Linked DNA regions of Neodiprion lecontei. The main gene of each other region encodes a partner of the protein of the gene in region 2 in a complex. Links are inferred from orthologs where the notes say so. Each region holds a gene or a part of one and is shown on either strand. Other genes may lie near its edges.

What was found. Proteins that work in one complex are often made in the same cells at the same time.
Region 1: vacuolar protein sorting-associated protein 54 (region 2) and vacuolar protein sorting-associated protein 52 homolog share a complex: the UniProt entries of both Caenorhabditis elegans proteins name them as parts of the golgi-associated retrograde protein (GARP) complex. The link is inferred for Neodiprion lecontei from reciprocal best matches to the Caenorhabditis elegans genes vps-54 and vps-52.

Annotation. Positions count from the first base shown.
Region 1 is NC_060261.1:35,079,397-35,082,996, reverse strand, and holds the start of vacuolar protein sorting-associated protein 52 homolog, read right to left. Parts: upstream 2,742-3,600; 5' UTR 2,600-2,741; coding exon 2,363-2,599; intron 2,298-2,362; coding exon 2,122-2,297; intron 2,019-2,121; coding exon 1,634-2,018; intron 1,558-1,633; coding exon 1,375-1,557; intron 1,306-1,374; coding exon 1,180-1,305; intron 1,089-1,179; coding exon 904-1,088; intron 842-903; coding exon 757-841; intron 672-756; coding exon 468-671; intron 386-467; coding exon 1-385. Other genes in the region: nuclear pore complex protein Nup93, read left to right, coding at 2,814-3,115, 3,311-3,491, 3,579-3,600. UniProt on the Caenorhabditis elegans protein: Acts as a component of the GARP complex that is involved in retrograde transport from early and late endosomes to the trans-Golgi network (TGN). The GARP complex facilitates tethering as well as SNARE complex assembly at the Golgi.
Region 2 is NC_060261.1:16,717,587-16,721,548, forward strand, and holds the start of vacuolar protein sorting-associated protein 54, read right to left. Parts: upstream 2,889-3,962; 5' UTR 2,671-2,888; coding exon 2,573-2,670; intron 998-2,572; coding exon 607-997; intron 499-606; coding exon 396-498; intron 313-395; coding exon 128-312; intron 1-127. UniProt on the Caenorhabditis elegans protein: Acts as a component of the GARP complex that is involved in retrograde transport from early and late endosomes to the trans-Golgi network (TGN). The GARP complex facilitates tethering as well as SNARE complex assembly at the Golgi.

The DNA.
Region 1 (3,600 bases), about 18 Mb from region 2:
GATGGATGTTTGTCAATCGAGCTCTAGCATTTGCGGGTAAAATTTTATGCAAACGGTGATAATACTGAACAAACTGAGTTAAAGTTCTTTGAAGCAATGCGCCTCCTAAAACTAAGCTTGGAAACGATCTCAAAACTTCGCTATTTATTGATGACAACTCGTTTTTCCAACACTGAGTAAAAGCCTCGACTAAAGCCAGTGCCGTTCCTTCGTGCTGCTTAAAATATTCCACTTGACCCTTATCAGATAAAGCTTCGGTTTCTTTAACAAGCTGTATAATTCCGCCAAAATGAGGGCTCAACACTTCCTCAACATACTCAGAGGAACGGGCGTTCAATTTTTCACGGAAGCTTTCAGCTTCTTTTGAATTATCTCTGGTTCTTTCCTACAGAGAAACGAAACTTTTACAATTATTTGTTCGTCATTGATTTCTCAATGAAAGACCGTGACAAAGAGCGACAACTGACCATAAGAACTCCCAGGACCAAGTCGTAGTTGTTGATTAGAAACACTAATTGCTGTGTTCTCTGCACAAAGACTGCGGCCATTCTAAGTAAAAAGCATTGTACTGCTTCTCTTAATTCAGCCAACAACTGTGCAGCTCCTTCACATGGAAATCCTTCTCCGACTCCGACCATCGCGGCACTGAATTCAGCGTAACGTCTAGTAATCTGAATAGAGATGCGAGTCAAGACATAAATTTATTTGAGAGTTGATCTGTGGTTACGTTAAATGATAGGAAGTAACATTACTCACGTAATGAGGTCCTATGTCCTTATTCAATTTCCAGGGATCACAGTCTTTGATACTTTGAATATTCAACTGAAAGGCGTACTCGAACCTGAAATAGAATGTCTAAATGGATCCCAAGCACATTCGTTTTCAGAGAACTGATGAGATTACCTTGGCCAAATAACTGAGGTGAGATTATCCCAATACTTGTCTAGTGCAGGGACAGCTCGTTTATGGCAAGTCAATTGGTACCGCATTACCAAATGCAAGCAAAGAAAGAGAGCTATAGTGTCGTAACAGTCATCTACAAAGGACTGCAAGTTCTTGAGTAACAGGTGCAAGGTCTTGCCCATCACCTAATAGAAAAATAAAAGAAAAATTACAATTCTATCCCGTATGTCATTCGTTAATTGTTGCAATTCCCAAGGGAAAAATATGTTGAATTACTTGATCGAAAATATCCATCGCCTGAGTTCCGCGAACCTTGAAAAATTCCGACAGAAATAGATACTCTCTGCAAGCGTTATCCACCAGCGCGTATTGTTCACTTCTAAACAAAGCTTCGTAGTGATACTGTGAATGAAATACATTATTGATTCACCTATGATTGTTATAAATCTTCTTGAATAATAAAAAACGAACCCTAGTCTTAGACGCAGTATGCGGCACAATTATTGGAGCTTCTAATTGAGAATTGAGAACATCTCCTCGGGTGCCTATTGAAAAAACAGTGCCTCGATGTTTGAGGGGAGTTTTGTGGAAGATCCCTCTGCCAGCTGTATCTTCAACGCCCATCAGATCATCTTTGGTGGCAGCTTCTTCGAACTAGAAAACATTAGAGTACACATATAGAAAGATTAGTAAAGTATATTGCAAAGGCAAATGTCTAATTTTTTCTCACCTGCAGTTTTGTGAGTCGCGAAGAGTACGACTTGAAGTAAGAGTAATAAATTTTGCTCATCGTATCGACATATTCCCCACATATTTCTTCAGCAACATTTCTTTCATTGGCCAAAACAAATTCGAAAAAGAATTTATACTTGAGCATGTTATTTTGCGGAACCTGATAGTTGGTCATTGGTTTCCTAAATTTGTATATTTGTTCCAACAGATAAGTTCTGATCTTGGACATTGCTTTTATTTTCAATTTCTCGAGTATCTCTTTGACGTCTTGGCAAGATTTAGCTTCCTTGAAGCTTTGCTCTTTGACAAAGTTTATTTTGTGATTCAAGGTCTGCAGCTGTGTTAAAAATTCCTTCTCAGTAACCGGGCAGTCCATGATTCCCCTAATAATAAAACAGAGTAAAAAATAGATTCTGCTGTTCTAAATGACATACTTTCTGATAACTTAATAGTTAAAATGGCACAGAACTCTATTATTCAACCTACATTATCAGAGCTTCTGAAACAGTCATGTCCTCGATGAATTGACTCAGTGGTCCTCGAATGACCTGGCGGTTGGAAAGTTGCTGGCTCATGGCTACAGATTTTCGTTGCAGGTATAAAATTTCCGAACTTATGCTGCCGAGGTCGGTTTTGAAGCTCAGTAGCATGGATTCCATTTTCTGTAATAAATAAATTGTGATAGCGAGAGAACGTATCGTCATGTATCGAATAGCCATTTACTAACCTCTAAAATATTGTCACAGGCATCAATTTGGTTATGCAAGCTGGCTATGTTCTGACTTTCTTTTATGTAGTCTTGAATAGATTTATTCTCGACTTCTTTGAGTTCTTTTTCTATTTGTCGGGAATATTGCCGCAGGTCTGTCCCCATCGTCAGGACCTCCTGGACCACGTCATCCTCCAGATCCTCGTGAGCCATTTGCGTCTCGCTATCGTCAAAAGCGTTGACTTCCGACGACATTTCTACGATATTGAACCTTCCGACACTTTTTTATTTATAATACTATTACTGCGTATTCTTTCCTTGCTCTTCTCACGTGTAAAATATCGGCTGAACAACTCTGACAGCCTAGTTTGACAGCACGCTGTCTGCTACCGTCTGCTTCGCAGACCAGCCATTACGCATTTTTTAGAGGTTCGGGTATTTGGAGTTTAATTGTTGATGCGAGGATCAGATGGCAGTCCAATCGGTTGAAGTCCGTGCTGGTCCGTGCAGACGAAATTTCAAATTTGTAAATGGCGTGTACGGGACTACTCTAACCTCAGTTCGCCGTGTTAATTTATTGTTGAAATTCTTCAGAATGGGTGATTCAGATTTTAACGAGCTCCTACGGTCGGCTGAGCAATTGTCAGCCGCTGTAGAGGGAAACGGCGAATTACCGCAAGTCGAAAGAAACTTAAGACAGATTTTAGAAGCCTCTAACGAACTTTGGTCCCGCGTCACTCAGCCCAGCAGTCAGGATAATCAAGTACAGGCGTAAGTACGGAAATTAAATATCCAATTTTTAGTTCTTTATGTGTAAAACAAAAACGGATGACTAAATTAAATTGGCACCACCGGATTTCTGTACGTATCCACTTTTTTTTCTCGCGGAGTTTAAATGTAACCTCAAAATTGTCGAGGCTCGACCTCCTTGCCATTTATAATTAAATCCGTTTCAATTTACTGCAGACATCTCTTATTGGGTTCGCGTGGTGTTGACCTACCGCAAATATCACAAAAATTGAATTCTCTGAGTGCACGGCGTACTTTTGAGCCATTGGATCCCGTCGCAGATACAGACATTGTTAGCTACTTGAGAAATGAAAAAGAAAATGCCATTCTTTCTATCATTGAACAAGTACATAAAGACGTACGTATAGTTATAATTTTCTAATGCTCGAGTAACACAATATCAAATGAAACAATTGTAATTAAGTAAAAGCATTTTTTCTTATAGACATTCGAGCTAAATAGAGTTC
Region 2 (3,962 bases):
CTGAATTTTCCAGACTGCATCTAATTCCGTGAGATTTCTTGGTTTTCCGGAAATTCCCTGACGCTAAACACCCTGATGTACACATAGAAAACAGCACACAACATAAAAAGTACATAGAATGGCCTACGGAGTGTAGTCGTGTCCATACTTTCTCTTGCATGAGTTTAGCATGGCTGGCTGTGTTTCCATCTTCATCCAATAGTCCTTCCTTAGCGAACGGGAATACAGCGAGGAAATTTTCCTTCTGAGCAAGGTCCAAATGCGGCATCAAAAAGATCTTTGGTATGCTCGACAAGTCGAATTGAGAACGTTCTGCAAAACGAATAAAGAATCAATATTTTCATCGTAGCCATTGTTCAGGTTACAAGACTAGCGTATATTCCATGTTTGCTTACCCAGCGACTTGACTTTCCTGAGATTGGGAAAATTCTGCAACAACTCGTTTGGCGAGGTGGAATTGTTGGAATTTGTGTTCATGCGCGAATGCTTACGATATCTCTGTAACAGAAATGAAAAGTGAATATGCGGTACAGGAAAATAATCAGGGAGAAAGAACTTCTCGCAAAATACTTGACGATAATATTATCTCTAAAAGATTATACAAACCCGTGCAATCTTCTTCATATAATTGTCGAAGTGCTGCATAGAGACGTCAGGCAGATATGGACTTTTGGGTATATCAACTTTTTCAACAAATGCATCACCCCATGTCTTGGTGAGAAAATTACTTTGCTTTCCTTTGTTGGGGTCATTCAGTACCGCAGGCAAGTTTTGCGCAGCTGAATAAATGGTCCACGACGGAGACGATCCGGTTACTTGACCGTTGCTTTTCTTTTGTTGCTGTTGCTGCTGCTGCATCGTCGCGTGTTTTGTCGCATGGGCTATGTAATCCTTATCCGAAACACCTTCGACCGGAAGGCTGCTGCATACACTGTTATACCCATAACGGCAAACAAACGAACCACCTTCTCTTGCGCAATGTTGCTCTCTCAAGTGTCTAAGATAAAGCATACATCATCTTTATATAGTATCTTATATAACACATACGATACTAAGCAAATTTTAATGGCACAACCTAAGAGATATCGAGCAATTTGAGAAAAGATTTTAGAATCAGAATTTTCAAAATGATTAATAAACTCTGGTGTTTTTTATGCGATTCTTACATGTTTCGACTCATTTTCGTCACTGATCAGATCTTCACAAATTGTCTAGACAACATTCGAGATAGACTCTTATATGATAATATAATTATAACACACGAATGTGATTGTTAACGAACATCTATTTTACCGTACTAACATAAATCTAATTTTATCTAGTTTGTAAATCTGTATGAAGAACAAAATGAGGCCAAGACATCATAATTGAATGATAAACACCACAGTTTACTCATTTTAAACGTTCTGACTACAAAAATTTTACTCAAATCATTGATATCTAAGCTTATGTTATAAAAATTTGCTCAGAATCATTTCTCTTTGAAATTACGGATGTTGTATGACATATCTTCACTATCATTTATGCAAATAACATTACCGGAGATTGTTTAAATGACCTTTGTAAGGATTTCTCCTCTTTTCCTAACTTTTGATACTGGCCAACCAAAATTGGCCAATTTGCCTTCATCGCAACAATTAGCTGTGAGAATTCGTATTGTTTAAGTTGGTAAGGTTGATATAACAATGCAATTTTAAGAAAAATCGTTGGTCCGCCGTCTTAGGAGGATGTGAAGTTTAAGCAACTGAAATAGAACAACATGAAGTCTAACAATCTAAATACTCAATAATATCAAAATCATTGTGAAATAGCGTATTGGTGATATTTTTGCAATGTTTAATGTTCTTCAACCTTGTTACAACTGAACAACTGCCGAGTGCTTAAGCATTTGACATACAATTTCATGTGATAAATCAAGAGAAGAATTGAAATTGTGTGGAGCGACTGAAAAGATATCATATCGTGGATCTTTCGAAGTATTTTAATCTTTAGGAGTACAAAAAAAATAATTACTGCCAGGTAGTGCAATGAAAAGGAGTTACGTAAGCACCTAATTACTACCACAAGAGTCTGGTTAGATCAATAGCTTATGTTAATTTGAGTAATAATAAGTCGTTGCTTTAGACGAGTCATCTTTAATGGATGGAATATTTAGAGGAAGTCATTGAAATAAAAAATTTTACAGATTCACTGCAATTTTAAAGCGAGTCGCTAATGCAAACAAAGTAGATTGTTGTGCTAAGATTGTTTGCATAATTTACAACAATATCAATGCTTGAAAGTTGGCTCAACTATGACAGATGATGAGAGAAGAAAAGTGACCGATGGAAACATATGACAGTTTATTTAAGCATCTCGCTGAATAGATGAAAGATGAATACTGAACATTGAGTAAGACCTTTGAAGTTTTAACCAACAATACAAGGCGGGCTCAGATTAACAGGGGAGAATTTATTCGGGCAATGACAGCGGCAAGGTCAGCTGATGATTGCGGAAGGTGGCAATGATAACGCGGTGAGACGCAACGTGGCCAGATAAGTCGAAAATACTAAGGTGTGGAGTCGGGACCTACCTTATGAAGTCCTCGATGTATCTGAAGGTGATATTGGGGCAATATTCGCAGGAAAACGACGCGGTGGAAACCTCCGGTGCCTTTATTATTTTCGCCATTTTATCACACCTGTCAGCTCAGCTCACCATCACTTCGACTGGTGTTGTCGTCCACCGTTTCACCGCTCAATTCGCGTAAACCACTGCAGTTGACGACATCAAACGCCAACGCAGGCCATCAGCATCCAGCTGCTAATGACAGCCGTTCCACGGATTCAATTGGGAGTCTGGGACGTAATGTTAGAAAGAGACGGGACTCGGCGCCGTGATGTAAACCGATGTAAACTGCTAGCAATACGTCATCCTTTTATGCATAGACCACGGATTTATGACATACAGTATGGTGGAGTGTACTGTGACGTCACAACATCACTCCCCGACAATTCCAGATGCTAGACACTAGATCTAGCGATCGATTCTGTAATTTCACTTTTCACATATCCCACCATCCGAGAATTTTGATTGGTCGACTAAACTTTGCAAGGCAATCAGAATGTTTGGATGGTGGGGACTGTGAAGAATGCTCTGAAGTACAGGCCGATGCACCGTCGGTAGTTCTGGGTCAGCAGGTACCGACTAGGCATTGAAATGCAGTGGACAATGGATGTTCAATCGCGGTTTTCACACAAACGGGGAAAGGAATGACCGTCAGAATAATAAAGTAAAAACTCACCTTACCTTTCGAGGATGACTGGAACTTGATGAACAATAAGTCGATGAGGTGACAGGAGTTCAGAGAAATGACTGATTTTGTTTGTTAGGTATTTGATTTAAGTTGACATTATTTTAAAATTCAAAATACAAGTAGGCATTTTTGACTTTATAATATAATAGAATACACCGAATAATTCATACCAGTCCTCTGACACACGCTGCTAAAAGTGGTTCGCAAAATGTCCCTCGATTCTGCCGCCAATCTCCACCACTAGTGGCGCTAGTAGTTGTCTGACCAGCTCGCGCGCGGTCAGCGAGGGCAGCGAGCGTGACAGAAGTCTACTAGCGCCACGTAAAAGAACTAAAAAACGGGGACAAGACGCGTACAATTTTTTAGTATACAAGCAGTGGTGTCAGCGGGCTGGTCGTAACGCAACGTATCACTTCCTCCGATTATCTAACCGCGCCGTTAGATTGGCCAGACACTGTCGTTTTCCCTATTCTTTCTGTTGGTTCGAAACTAGAATCTACGCGCCAAGCTCACGTCCCCGTAAGTTGCTGTATTTTGATTGATTAAGAACTATAGAGTTTTTGCGCAGTGCGTATTTTACCCTAGCTTTCCTGTCTCTCTATTGGCTGATGTCACCGTCCGTTTTATCGACACTTGTCACAAAACAGCAATTTCATTATGGGTCATT